3 linked regions of the Drosophila melanogaster genome follow. The protein of the gene in region 1 interacts with the protein of each later gene in a pairwise test. Each region holds a gene or a part of one and is shown in the gene's direction. Other genes may lie near its edges. The genes, in order: CG12728, CG4218 and CG8507.

Region 1 (4,787 bases):
AATTCTGGGCGTCTCCTATGGCACTCTGTATGGGCGTTACCGCGAGGTCTATGGCTGCCTTAAGCATCCTTACAGGTGCGTTGAAGTGCTTCCAGTTACTGAATGTATGTAGATTTTAAATCACCGTCTTTATTACGATATAGTGGCACCGCCTTCCGGAACTCTGGATCCACCTCGACCAGTCAGATGGGAGTTCAGCCTCGCTTCGACTTGGGATTCCGCAACGGGGGCGTCCTTCCAGCTCAGCTGGGTAAGAAAGATCTACAAATGTGCTGACAAATAACCAACTTACTGGGGAATTAAGTCCAAACCAATCCCTACTTGCAGAGCTGGGCAAGCTGAAGAAGGATCTGAGCGAGCTATGGACACGTCCGCAGATTTGAGGACCAACCAATGCCACAACCATAACGAAACTGCAGAAAAGCCTCAAACGTCGCCACAGGCTGATCTAGGATTACAACAGAAGGATGAAAGACAGCTAGACGAGGCTAGTTTTGGATCCTGAGTAATGCTTTCCTGAATCCTGAATTCCCACATTAATGTGTTGTTCCCATCGGTGGGTCACAACTATAACTGATCTACACATTTAGGATCTTATTATTACATAATATATAATATAATATAAATACATGTCTATAAATACAACCACGTGGATTAGTTAATTGAAATACGCACGGACACGTGTGGTTTTAGTGGTAAATACATTTCTCTTGGTAGTGAAATTCAACACCATAAACTATGGAATCTAGTTAATCGATAAAATAACACGGAAGTGAAGTGAATTTTTTGATAAGCTAACGAAAAGGAACACAAACAATATGTATTACATACAAAAAATATATGTTTAAAACAAATAAAGTAATATCTATTAAAATATGTTCAAAACGATATCAAGTACTTCCTTTCTACGGCTCTTTGGATTCAAATTGTGGCGCCAATATAGTTGGTCACCTATACCTATTTACAGTCCGATTGAAGCCCGATACCGACGAACTGCTGCGAGCTAGAGGTGGGATGTTTTCGATGGGTTTAGAGCAAAAATTCGATACTATCGTTTTTCCTGAACGGCATTATTAACAATTTATATATTTAATGCTATAACTCAATATACAAGATATCAAAATTATTTCTTTCATTTCCTTCTAACAAGCCACGAAAAATATTAAAAATATTAAAAAACTAATTAGGGGATCAAGAATAACAGGAAAACTAAGAGATATTGACCAGGAAATCACAAAAATATTATTCTATCCATGCATTTCCTTGCAAAAAAAGTATGTCAGAATTGATCGTTTTAAGGAAAGCCCTGCGGTTACCTATTATACGTCCAGCCTACGCTCAGACTCTGTTGATGTGGCGTGAACACATAAAGGTTTAGGTACTACTTGTTTCATATTATAATAAAATAATAATATTATAATATATAATATAATGCTGTTATAAAGTATCTTTGATTTATGAATGGTTAGTTCAAATAGGTATAGAGTTACATCCCAGTTTTGTTATCTTTATACATCACCATCGTTACCGCCAAAGAACAATCGATAGATTGGTAAGAATTCGATACCTAGACGGTACTATCGATTCTTTTTCATCTCTACGGCGTGCGTCAGTGATGTTTCTTTCCTTTGATTTCTGATCCTTCTAAACGTAACTTCAAAATGCTATTGAAAGTAGTGAATATAAATGGCTTGCAGCACCTGTTCGCCTGCACTGAGGGGCAGCATGATGAAACCCTAACTATTCACGTTTTCCGTCCTCGCGAGAAGTGGACTTACTCCGAGACTTTGATGAAACGCGATTACCAGCAGCGTTTGAAAGTAAGTTTTCCGCATTTTCATGTGGTGAAATAGTGTGAGTGCAACACGTTTTTTCGACCAGACGCTCAACGCGCGTGTGAAGTTTCCCGAGGAATTGGTGCGCCAGGTCCTGCTCAACAAGGATCCATTGCATGTCGAACAGGATTACCAGCACCCATTGAACGTCCTGAAACTGAAGTATGCCATGGCGAATTTCAAAGTTTTCCTCAAGTGGGAATGGCACCTGAGACCCATGGATGCCGCACAGGTCAGTAACTGACTTTAGCAGAATCAGTTCCAAGAACTATAATAATTGGTGCCATTATTCCCAAAGTTGTATAGCCAAATGTTCTTGAACACAATGTCCACGGCTTTGGGACTACGGGTTCAGATACCCCTTCTGCTAGGGATTATCCATGCCAAGGACAAGGAGCTGAACCAGTATCGCACCGAGGGATGCCAGCTGCGCAAAGGTTAGTTAAGAGCAAGTTTGCAAATCGAAAGTTTTTGTCCATTCCATTCGCTTAGTAATCGCAAAACCTTATGCCTTCTTTAGTGACTGTGGAAACCAAGCCCTTTGATCTCGAGGCTTTTATGAATAAGCACAAGCAATTGCTGGACTGTTCCGCTGCCTACCAGAAGGCGCAGAGTACTTTTTTTGCTGATAAGCCATCGCCTAATTGGACATCGCTTTCTTCGCCATGGGCACGGGATGTCGCGCCCTATTCTTCGTCAAACGGCTACTTTGCTTCTTCGAAGGCATCAAGCCCAAAAGAAGCTCCTCGCATTAGGTGGGATTGGTACAATGTGTTCACATTTACCGATTAATAAGATATGTTTTCGCAATTGCAGGAAGCGCAAGGCTCTTGAAATCAATACCAATCATATGGAGCGCAAGGTAATGCAGCGCCGCTCCAATCCGCTTGTCGAGTACAAAAGCTCGCAGAGTTCCCAAGAGACAAACGTAAATTTAATCTTAAAAGTAGAGCTAGCGCCAATGGACACCAAGAATGATCTCACTGATGATGACGAAGAGTCATCCACATCTTCGGGGCTTTCCCAAGGATGGTCGGCCAAACTAACCAAATTTAATCCAACCGTCGGAAGTGGTGTATATGAACTTGCATCTCAGGAACAGTATGCTTCTTCTGAAGATGAGGATGCTTCTTCTAAAAATGGGGATACTTCTTCTAAATATGAGGATGCTTCTTCTAAAGATGAGGATGCTTCTTCCAAAGATGAGAATACTTCTTCTAAAGATGAGGATGCTCCGTCTAAAGATGAGGATACTTCTTCTAAAGATGAGGATGCTTCTTCTGAATATGAAGAGGTCACTAGGGAGGCATCGAACGCTTTCAATTTCGTCATAAAGAAGGTTGAATCTTTAAAAGAGTTTTACGATGCCCCAAGGGAACTCATCCAAGAACCCAAAGTCGGAAAGTCCGATCAGAATTGGGATTTAATTCTTCGAACTGTGCTGGAAGATATCAAAGCCGTACTGATTTACTCAACTGAACGCATCGAAAAAGCGATCCAGAGCTATATCAATAAGTTAGCGCAAAAATAATTTGGAAACGATCTCATTCTAAATGGTGCTACAAGCAAAACTTCACACTTAGTACATACGTTTTTTTTTTTTGTTTTTTTTTTTTTTTTTTAGATAAAAACAAGTCCTTAGTGATAAAAGGATAAAATACATGATTCCATTTGTTGATTAGGTATTCGTACCTAAGTCCATCGAACAGCAATCAAATGAAACAAAGAACTGTATAGTGTTGTAGATATTAAAAAGACGTCTTATCAAACACCCTCAGTACACGTACACAAACAAGTTGACAAACACAAATCCTCAGTGATAAAAGGATAAAGACATGATTCCATTTGTTGATTAGGTATTCGTACCTAAGTCCATCGAACAGCAATCAAATGAAACAAAACAATGTATAGTGTTGTAGATTTTAAAACGTCTTACCAAAACACCCTCAGTACACAAACAAGTTGAGTTCCATTGCATAGAAGCAGCAACTAACTCCTATCTCTATGGAACATATCGAATAATATTAAAATTTGTCAAAATGATTGCCCGGAAATTTTCTGGTCAATTATCGACCGATTAGTCAGGGCTTTCCAGCGGTTATAACCTCCTGATCAATGCATTTTATGTTAAATATTTTTTGGCACGATTACTAATAAAATTGATAAAAAAAGAAACGTTTGCAGTTTGAATAAATAATCTTTAAAGTTTGCCTTATCCCATTTGCTTTAGAAGCTTTCAGCCTTTTCAGGCTGATCTAGGATTACAACAGAAGGATGAAAGACAGCTAGACGAGGCTAGTTTTGGATCCTGAGTAATGCTTTCCTGAACCCTGAATTCCCACAATAATGTGTTGTTCCCATCGGTGGGTCACAACTATAACTGATCTACACATTTAGGATCTTATAATATATAATATAATATAAATACATGTCTATAAATACAACCGCGTGGATTAGTTAATTGAAATACGCACAGGCATTCTATCCATGCATTTCCCTGCAGAAAAAGTATTTCAGCATTGATCGTTTTAAGGAAAGCCCTGCGGTTACCTATTATACGTCCAGCCTACGCTCAGACTCTGTTGATGTGGCGTGAACACATAAAGGTTTAGGTACTACTTGTTTCATATTATAATAATATAATAACATTATAATATATAATATAATGCTGTTATAAAGTATATTTGATTTATACTTCTAATGGTTAGTTCAAATAGGTATAGAGTTACATCCCATTTTTGTTGGGAATCTTTATACATCACCATCGTTACCGCCAAAGAACAATCGATAGATTGGTAAGAATTCGATACCTAGACGGTACTATCGATTCTTTTTCATCTCTACGGCGTGCGTCAGTGATGTTTCTTTCCTTTGATTTCTGATCCTTCTAAACGTAACTTCAAAATGCTATTGAAAGTAGTGAATATAAATGGCTTGCAGCACCTGTTCGCC
Region 2 (3,795 bases), on another chromosome or scaffold:
ATTGAAGGCGGCTGCAAATGCGGTTGGCTTTAATCGTGCTGGAGTCGCACAATGGGACTCGGATCGGATCGCATTGGGTTGGGCTTGGTCCGGAGGAGGCGATGAGATTATGACACCGGCCAGACATTCACCGAAAAACGCTGAGGAGGAAGTGGAGTCGCCGAATCAAGAACTCAATTAGGGAATGCCTAAAGTTGCCGAAAAGAGCCATTGACTAATTCGAAATGAAATGGAAGGCTATCCCATTGAAAATTCTGTTTTTAGCTTCCACGCAAATAAGAAAAATGTCAAGATCAATATGATCTTTAATAAATCTATTATTTTAACTTAACTATTTTAGTAATTTTAATAACTATTAGTAATCGAAAAGACATGCTAGCAAAATAAATTACCTACTATCCAAACCCGATGTGCTAGTAAACTGCAAATGGGCCACTTTCATGTCCATGGGAATGGAATTGTCGCCATTTCGTGCACAAGGAAAAAATACGGTGGCTAATGAGAGGCATAATCAACTTCCCATGTTGCATACACAATTGATGCCAATGCCCGGACCATGCCCAATAAATATCAACAGCCACACAAATTTGCCTGTTGGCCAACTGGCAACTTCAAAAAAGTAATAAAAAGCGAAAAACCATAGCCGCGAGCCAGGAGAGCCGACAACAAAAGCGCACATAAATCAACGATCAAGACAATTGCGGTGTAATAATTTTAACTTCTTTAAGTCGGCAGCCAGCCCACACCGCACACCACGGAGCACCACCCGGCTCCACCCGGCAATACCCTGCACCACCGACTCCACTTCAAGTCGATCCGATTCGGCGGGGGCCCATAAAAATAACAGCTTATCGGTAAGAAGAATCGTGTCGTGGCACGCCTACCAACTCAAAAAGGCATTAAAATATGAAAACAACAATTGCACACTCTCTGGCATGGGAGGAGGATGCTGGAGGGGTTGGTATCCACCTCCGGGGGAAATCAACAGCAGTCTGGGAGTCACAGAGTGGCCGACACGCCCCCTTTTCTTCATTGTAGGCGTCAGCCGATGGCAGCGGCACGTTTTCCTCCGTGAAATTCCAAACTAGCCCCAACCACCCGCAGCATCGCAAAGGTGAGTCCAGCCAAGACGCTAAACCAGAGATATATAGGTGTATCAGGAGTTGCCCCTCCGCACCCACTGTCCTTGCCACATCGCTCCATTGTTCAACCACAGGCGAATGAAAGTTGGGGGAGGGATCGGTTTCGTGAGGCAGCGGGCAGTTACAACTTAGTTAGCTCAGCCAGAATTGCAGGAGATATCTCAATTTGGGGCCCATAAAAATAGCGAGTAATAGGCCATGTCCAAAGAGCGAGCCAAACTTATGAAATACGACCAAGCGATACTCTAAAAATACCCTAATCCACTTTACATCAAATTACGTATATGATAGAATAGTTACATCGCTAAAAGGGTCTTTGCTCTTAAGAAATAATTCGAATGGTTATAGCTTACTTCCTTGGGTTCCAATGCACAGCATACTTAGTTACAAACTATGGTGGCGTTGTCATAAAACCGGTAACCGAGTAGTCAGTCTCTTTGCAGTCATAGTATTAAGCACTGAAACTCTTATTTAGAGACAATTGGTCTGACAAGCCCAACACAAGTATCCATAGCCCAAAAAAAAAAACCGAAAACTTAAGCATTTTCGGATCCATTCACATGTTCGAAAGAATCTAAAAGTGGGATAGCAAAATTGACAATGGCAACCAGGCAGCCCACACCCCGCCAGCTGGCATACCTCGACGAGCTGAAGATGCGACTGCAGGAGCTACGCGATCGCCAGGCGTCCTTCATGGAGCAAACGGCCAAGATACTCAGCAGGATGAGCTCCTCCAGTATGGATGGGTCGGAATCCGAGACATTACCAACCGATTCGATCGATGAAAATGTGACAACCAATACTACAGCGGGTGTGGGTGCCGGGATCACCAAGGGTTCCAAGAGCAGTCTTAATATCAAGAAGCTAATTCAGCGCTTTGAAGATCTGCGGAAGAACTCGCAGGTGGGTTTGCATTACCATCAATAATTATTGCTTAATCTTATTACCCTAAACTACTACGTTCATAGCAAAATTTAATTGACAAGTAGTTCATTTAAGTGTTACTTTTGTCATTTGAAAAATTGCAAACCTTTTATATGAGGATATATTGGATTTATACTGACGAACATTTTTGGATTCAGACCTGGATTGTCTTTCAGCGTGAAATACTTAATATTTAAATAAATTGTATATAACCCAAAAATGTTTTATTGGAATGCTGAAAGCGATTAAGGGCTTTAAAGGTTGTGTTCATATGACAGTCGATTGATACAATTGCAACTAAAAAGTGCAGCTCAACAAAATTTTGAAATATTCTTTGCAACTATTTTATGTATTTACTTTTTGTATTGATTTCAGGAGTTTGGCGATCTTCCCGAGGTTCCCGAGGAACTGATCAACGTGGATGTGCGCCGCATTCTCAATGGCTACGAGAAACTCATCGAAGAAGGTCATGTTCTCCAGCAATCCTGGTTTCTGCTCAAGAAGTCCACGGAGAGTTGTGCTCGGTTCGCCAGCGCAAATGGCATGAAATCGGAGGATCGTCCTCCATTGAAGACCAACTCTGGTATCGTTGAGGTATGCAATGTGGTACCAGAACATAGTCCTGAGGTAGCTGAAACACCGCGGGTTAAGAAATCTAAATCGCTGCTCTCGAATATGGTTACTAGTTCGGAGATAGTGGATAAGAAGGCAGAGGTTTTCAGCACCAAGATGGCAAAGGGGAAATGCAATTTCCAGGACTATGGTAAGGGCATCAAAAGACCACGAAAAGAGCAGTCCCATGTAGGTTAATCCAAAGCCTCATCTAAACCCTAGGTCATGCGCGCTGGGGAGCATTTATGCAGTTGATCATACGCGTTCTTCGTCCTTTCCACGGCGGCAGCAGGAAGACAAAGAAAATTCCAGCTCACAACGCCAACAACATGAGGATTCCCAGCCACCTGCCACCGAAGAGGAAGCCCATCTACTAGGCCTTTTCAATAGCCAACCACACACAAAAAACCACAAGTGAAGATCCAAACTAAGCCAAACCAATCCCCCCAAAATCCCACTAAAAATAATCCAATAAAACCGATCCCATTGAAAAGACGCGTTAATCAATAGGCAACACCACACGTCAGCGTGTCAATATTTTGCCTAATTAATGTGGCCCGGCTTGGGCGCAGTGGCGCATCAATTTCGAGTGTCAAGTGCAATGAGGGGGAACGATCGCTCTGTGGGTCCCCTTGGTCCGGATCCGGACCACCATCAGCTAATGTATCTATATGGCCCAAGCCCAAGGCATGACCATAGCCGGGCGACGGCGACGTATGGCAGCAACTGCTGCGCTGACAGCGCATTTTAGTCGCCCATGGAATACCGAAAATAAATCTTGCCCTGTCGTGACACAGAGCGGATGATGCACTGTTCAAAAAAATAACTTAAACTGCATATTAGAACAGAACATAAGCTGTCACTACAGTCACTCTACACATTGTATTGCTAACTTTGGTAAAGTAACTTTAGATGTTATACTTATGGTTATTAGGTATCAATAAGAAATTCGTAAAATTAATATATAAAGCTAGAGTGGTTAGCATTATAATTTAAAACATTAATTTCACATGCTTTATATTTTTGCAGTGTACTGAAGGAGTGATACATTGGTTGAGGAGGGTGTAGAAACACTAAAAGCAACGCAGACAAAATACTCGGCCCCACACAACACGCA
Region 3 (4,069 bases), on another chromosome or scaffold:
GTGTGGTGGGAGCTTCCTGCTTTTCCTCTAGCTCTTGGACGCCCGAAACGTCTGGAATTCGCTGTAGCGACTCCTTTGGAACATTTCTCACGTTAATTACATTTAGCAGCATCTTTAAGTTGTCGCCCGATATGGAGTCGCCTTCGGGCGCCCGTGCATTAATGGACTGGTGAATCGTTGGTGTCCCTTGTGGCGCTGGCTTGTGTAAAAGTGACGCCCATGCTCGGGGGCTTAAAATGTATTTAAAGCACAGCTTTATGGTGTAACCCACTAAAAACACCAAAAGGACTGGTGCAAGGAGGTTATACGGGAAGGATAATCCGGCTATGGGTAAATATGGTAATTAAGTGGTAAGTGGTAATTATTGACTGTGCGAATTCTTGGTTAAATACTTACAGGACAGTTTAGTCATAGTTACCGACACCTTTTCTATCATGATTTCCAACTGCTTGATAAATATGTTATTCATGTACATAAAGAACACTTGATCTGGCATGCAAATGGAAATGCTGATTTTTGCGGATTTTCTGAATGGAAACGATCATCAATCGACTTATTTAATTATATGTTATGGTCTTACTTGATCATTTCTATCTTCTTAGTTTTTGGTGAGGCTTGGTATATGTAGCCTAACAGTCGACCAAACCAGGACGATTCAGGCTCATGGTGATGATTTACGACCTCTATCATCCTATCGATGTCTAATTCCTAATTATAAACATATAATGAGCACAATTTCACACACTTTCAGGCTAGACCTACTCTGTTGCATTCTAAATAAGTCTGAATATATCCGCACAGAAACACGCCTCCTAGTACAATTGAAATTAGTCCGACACGGAAACGTTTGTGCACAATGACGACAAGTGCAATTGCTAATGTTGCATATAGGATAAATTTCACCTAGGAATGAGAAAACCCATTAAATAGCAAATAGTCAAGTTTCCATAAAAAGGCGCAACAGGTACCTCGGTCGTTTGCGTCAGTTCAATTACATCCTTGAAAATATCCACCAATAAGGAGAAAAAGCCGTGTCGGACGTATGAGCATCCGGATCTTCCATTAAACAAAGGAGCCTCCTCGGCACTCTCCAATATCTTAGTCAGCAAAACGTCCAAATCCCGAGCATCCTGCACCCTCTCCAGTTCATCCAGTTGCGATGGGATCAGGGAGAAGAGCAGCGATCGCTTATGGACCGCCGACATAACATCGTACTAATTACACAAAAGTTACACACATATGACGTCATGTCGCCAACTTTGGTCTAAACAGCGATCATACCTGAAAACGCTTGCGCTGGAACAGCAGATTGACGAACTTCTTGAAGTATGTGAGTGCCACGGCATCCTCCATGGCCACTGGAGACACATCTGGACACGTAGGACACTGGCACAATTCACCGGGCTGATTGATATCGTTAACCAGGTCCGACCAGGCGGGATCCGGACTCAGCCAGGACTCATCGTTGCCGCTCTGACAGCATACCCTGTGCAATACCAACAGGAAACAACTGACCGCTGCCTCCGTTCTCATTGTCCTGGTTTCTCAATGTAATCACTCCTAGGTAGTAAGCACTCGATAATAATTATAATTCAGCGCAATTTCGTGGTAAGGCGGCTGATGCAAATTGGCAGTGTGACCAAGTCCAGTTAGCAACATCACAGCGTCACGTCAGTGCTGCAATATCTACTTATCACTTCAGGAAAATGTAGCTTTATATTTATTAGACAAACATGCTTTTATGATTTTTCTTCACTTCTACTGCAAATTGAATTATTTTTATTAAACATCTTTATCAAATAAATCAAACAAATTGTTGTAAATTGACCAAGATCAAAAATCGTAACTGCGAAAAACAAAGCATTAAAATAAAATAAAAGCTAGACTGTCAGCACCAAAGCTTTATGCGATCGCTAGATGGCCACACTGCGTGTTGTGAATAACTGTTTAGCCAGGTCAGCACTGCACCAATAATTGCAAGCTTTAAAACCGAAATAAAAACCACGAGGAAAATGGTTAGGTCAGCTCTCGTTGTTGCAGCCATCGCACTTTCCGTACTTATTGCACTGCAGGGCGTGGATGCCGACAAAAAGCAGAGCAAGAAGTACAGCAAGGAGGCCAACGACCCGCATTTTCAGCAAGTAAAGCAGGAGAAGTATGATCCGGATTTTAAGAGCATCCAGCGGCCATTTCGCATGGCCAAGTTGAATCTCGTGTGGGCCAAGGCGCAGAATGTAAGTGGACACCATAAGATATCTCATATTTAACCGTACTAACCTCGGTTACAGCGCTTAACAGAGCCCAAGCTCAAGTCACTGTACATGGAACTCAAGATCCACGATAAGGAGGAGATCGCTTGGAAGCAGCTCAACTCGCAGCACAAGGACAAAGACGGGCTGAAGGCCGACGAACTGCGCCGCAAGCTCATTGGCATCATGAGCAGCTACGATCTGCTAGAGCATTTTGACGACACTCAGGATACGGAGAAGCTTAAGCCCTACAAGGTACGTATCTAAATCATCTTTCCTAAGAGCAAGAGTTTCTCTACATCCAAGTTAACTTTAAGAAATTCCACGACGCCGAGGAGCGACACAGAAACAAGAGTCTTTTCAAGGACAAGAAACTCAACCGACTTTGGGAGAAGGCCGAGATTTCCGGATTTACTGCAGAGGAATTGAAATCCTTGAAACAGGAGTTTGACCATCACCAGGATAAAGTGGATGTGTACTACAGCTTGCTGGAAAACATTGGCACCGTAGACACCGACAAGCATGAAAGTGAGTTTGGCTAAAAACAGCACGAAAAGCATCAATTAATTTCATTGATTATTCTCGTTAGATGCTATTAACACGGAAGACTTGGACACCTACAATCTGATTTCGAATGATGTCAATGAGAACGACATCAAAACCCATGCGCAAAACGTGAAGAGTTTCGAGAACGACCTTAACACTCTGCGAGGACATCACACGGGCATCAAGGATCACTACGATAGGCTGGAACGCCTGGTGTCCTCCGGTCCACACAGTCAGGACTTCATTGAACCCAAGGTCCAGGGTCTATGGCGAGTGGCCCAGGCTAGCAATTTTACGGTTAAAGAACTGGAGTCCATTAAAACCGAATTGCATCACTTCGAAAGTCGCCTATTAAAGCTGCGTCACTTGCATGCCGAGCATGCTTTGCAAAAGGAGAAATACAAGGTATATGTTTCTTAATATCAATCAAGTTTGTAAGCCAACTAACAATTATTTATAGGGCGAAAAAGTGAAGGACAAAAGCAGCCGCTTTGAGGAAATGGAGGATCAGCTGAAGAAGCAAACTCGCAAAGTGGAGAAGCTCCAGGAGAACATTGAAAAAACCATCTTCAAGCACACCGAGCTTTAATAATTTGAAAGTGAAACACTGAAAGTGCCAAGCGAATAAATTAGATTTAATTGCAACTGTTTGTGTAACGCACAAAAATATTCATTCTTGCTGCTATTCAGCATAGATATAATTTTGATACCAAATATCATTTGAACATAAATAAAATCTCAAGTTTAATTTTGAACTATATACAATCTATTTTGACCTTTAAAAAATTCAATGTGGAAAAAATAAATTTGTAATATATTCAAAGTACAATATAGGGTTAAGAATAAACCGTTAAAAAAAACGATAAAATTAGTGTGACCATATGATAGCAGGCACAAAACGCGTATTTCCCTCCACCCAGTAGGACCGCACCTAGTATGACCGCATGCCAGTCGCATTATTGTTGTTGTCGTTTCGTTTGGTGGGCCAAAAAACAAGAAAATATTAGCTAAGCGAAAAGTTTAAAAAGTTAATATATATATGTGCAGCGGTCGGTGCCAGCGCTTTATGGGTACATAGTGCATATGTACACACACCGACATGGGCATGGTGGAGGCGTCGACGTCGGAACTGCACCTGGAGGCCCCAAATTCGTACACGTACCTCCTGGCGACCGTCAGCCTGACGCTCACTTTCATCGTTATGCTGGGCGCTTGTCTCTGCTGCAAGAAGCGGATCCCTAAGTAAGTCCTCCCCAATACCCAGAGGATCAGAG

What was found.
Region 2: the proteins of CG12728 (region 1) and CG4218 interact in a two-hybrid assay, tested with the Drosophila melanogaster proteins (one large-scale study listed by BioGRID).
Region 3: the proteins of CG12728 (region 1) and CG8507 interact in a two-hybrid assay, tested with the Drosophila melanogaster proteins (one large-scale study listed by BioGRID).

What each region holds. Positions count from the first base shown.
Region 1 is NC_004354.4:5,941,022-5,945,808, forward strand, and holds CG12728 (uncharacterized protein), read left to right. Parts: upstream 1-1,584; 5' UTR 1,585-1,661; coding exon 1,662-1,820; intron 1,821-1,881; coding exon 1,882-2,067; intron 2,068-2,133; coding exon 2,134-2,272; intron 2,273-2,355; coding exon 2,356-2,590; intron 2,591-2,651; coding exon 2,652-3,366; 3' UTR 3,367-4,229; downstream 4,230-4,787. Other genes in the region: CG3726 (uncharacterized protein), read left to right, coding at 1-75, 144-250, 328-383; CG32756 (uncharacterized protein), read left to right, coding at 4,740-4,787.
Region 2 is NT_033779.5:14,546,901-14,550,695, reverse strand, and holds CG4218 (uncharacterized protein), read left to right. Parts: upstream 1-1,586; 5' UTR 1,587-1,742; coding exon 1,743-2,045; intron 2,046-2,110; coding exon of another isoform or gene 2,111-2,131; exon of another isoform or gene 2,132-2,281; intron 2,282-2,441; coding exon 2,442-2,829; intron 2,830-2,883; coding exon of another isoform or gene 2,884-2,900; coding exon 2,901-3,055; 3' UTR 3,056-3,198; downstream 3,199-3,795.
Region 3 is NT_033777.3:9,789,558-9,793,626, forward strand, and holds CG8507 (uncharacterized protein), read left to right. Parts: upstream 1-1,925; 5' UTR 1,926-2,012; coding exon 2,013-2,234; intron 2,235-2,288; coding exon 2,289-2,504; intron 2,505-2,566; coding exon 2,567-2,777; intron 2,778-2,838; coding exon 2,839-3,200; intron 3,201-3,255; coding exon 3,256-3,384; 3' UTR 3,385-3,541; downstream 3,542-4,069. Other genes in the region: CG12945 (uncharacterized protein), read right to left, coding at 1-324, 397-527, 581-708, 763-903, 969-1,214, 1,282-1,533; CG8516 (uncharacterized protein), read left to right, coding at 3,895-4,037.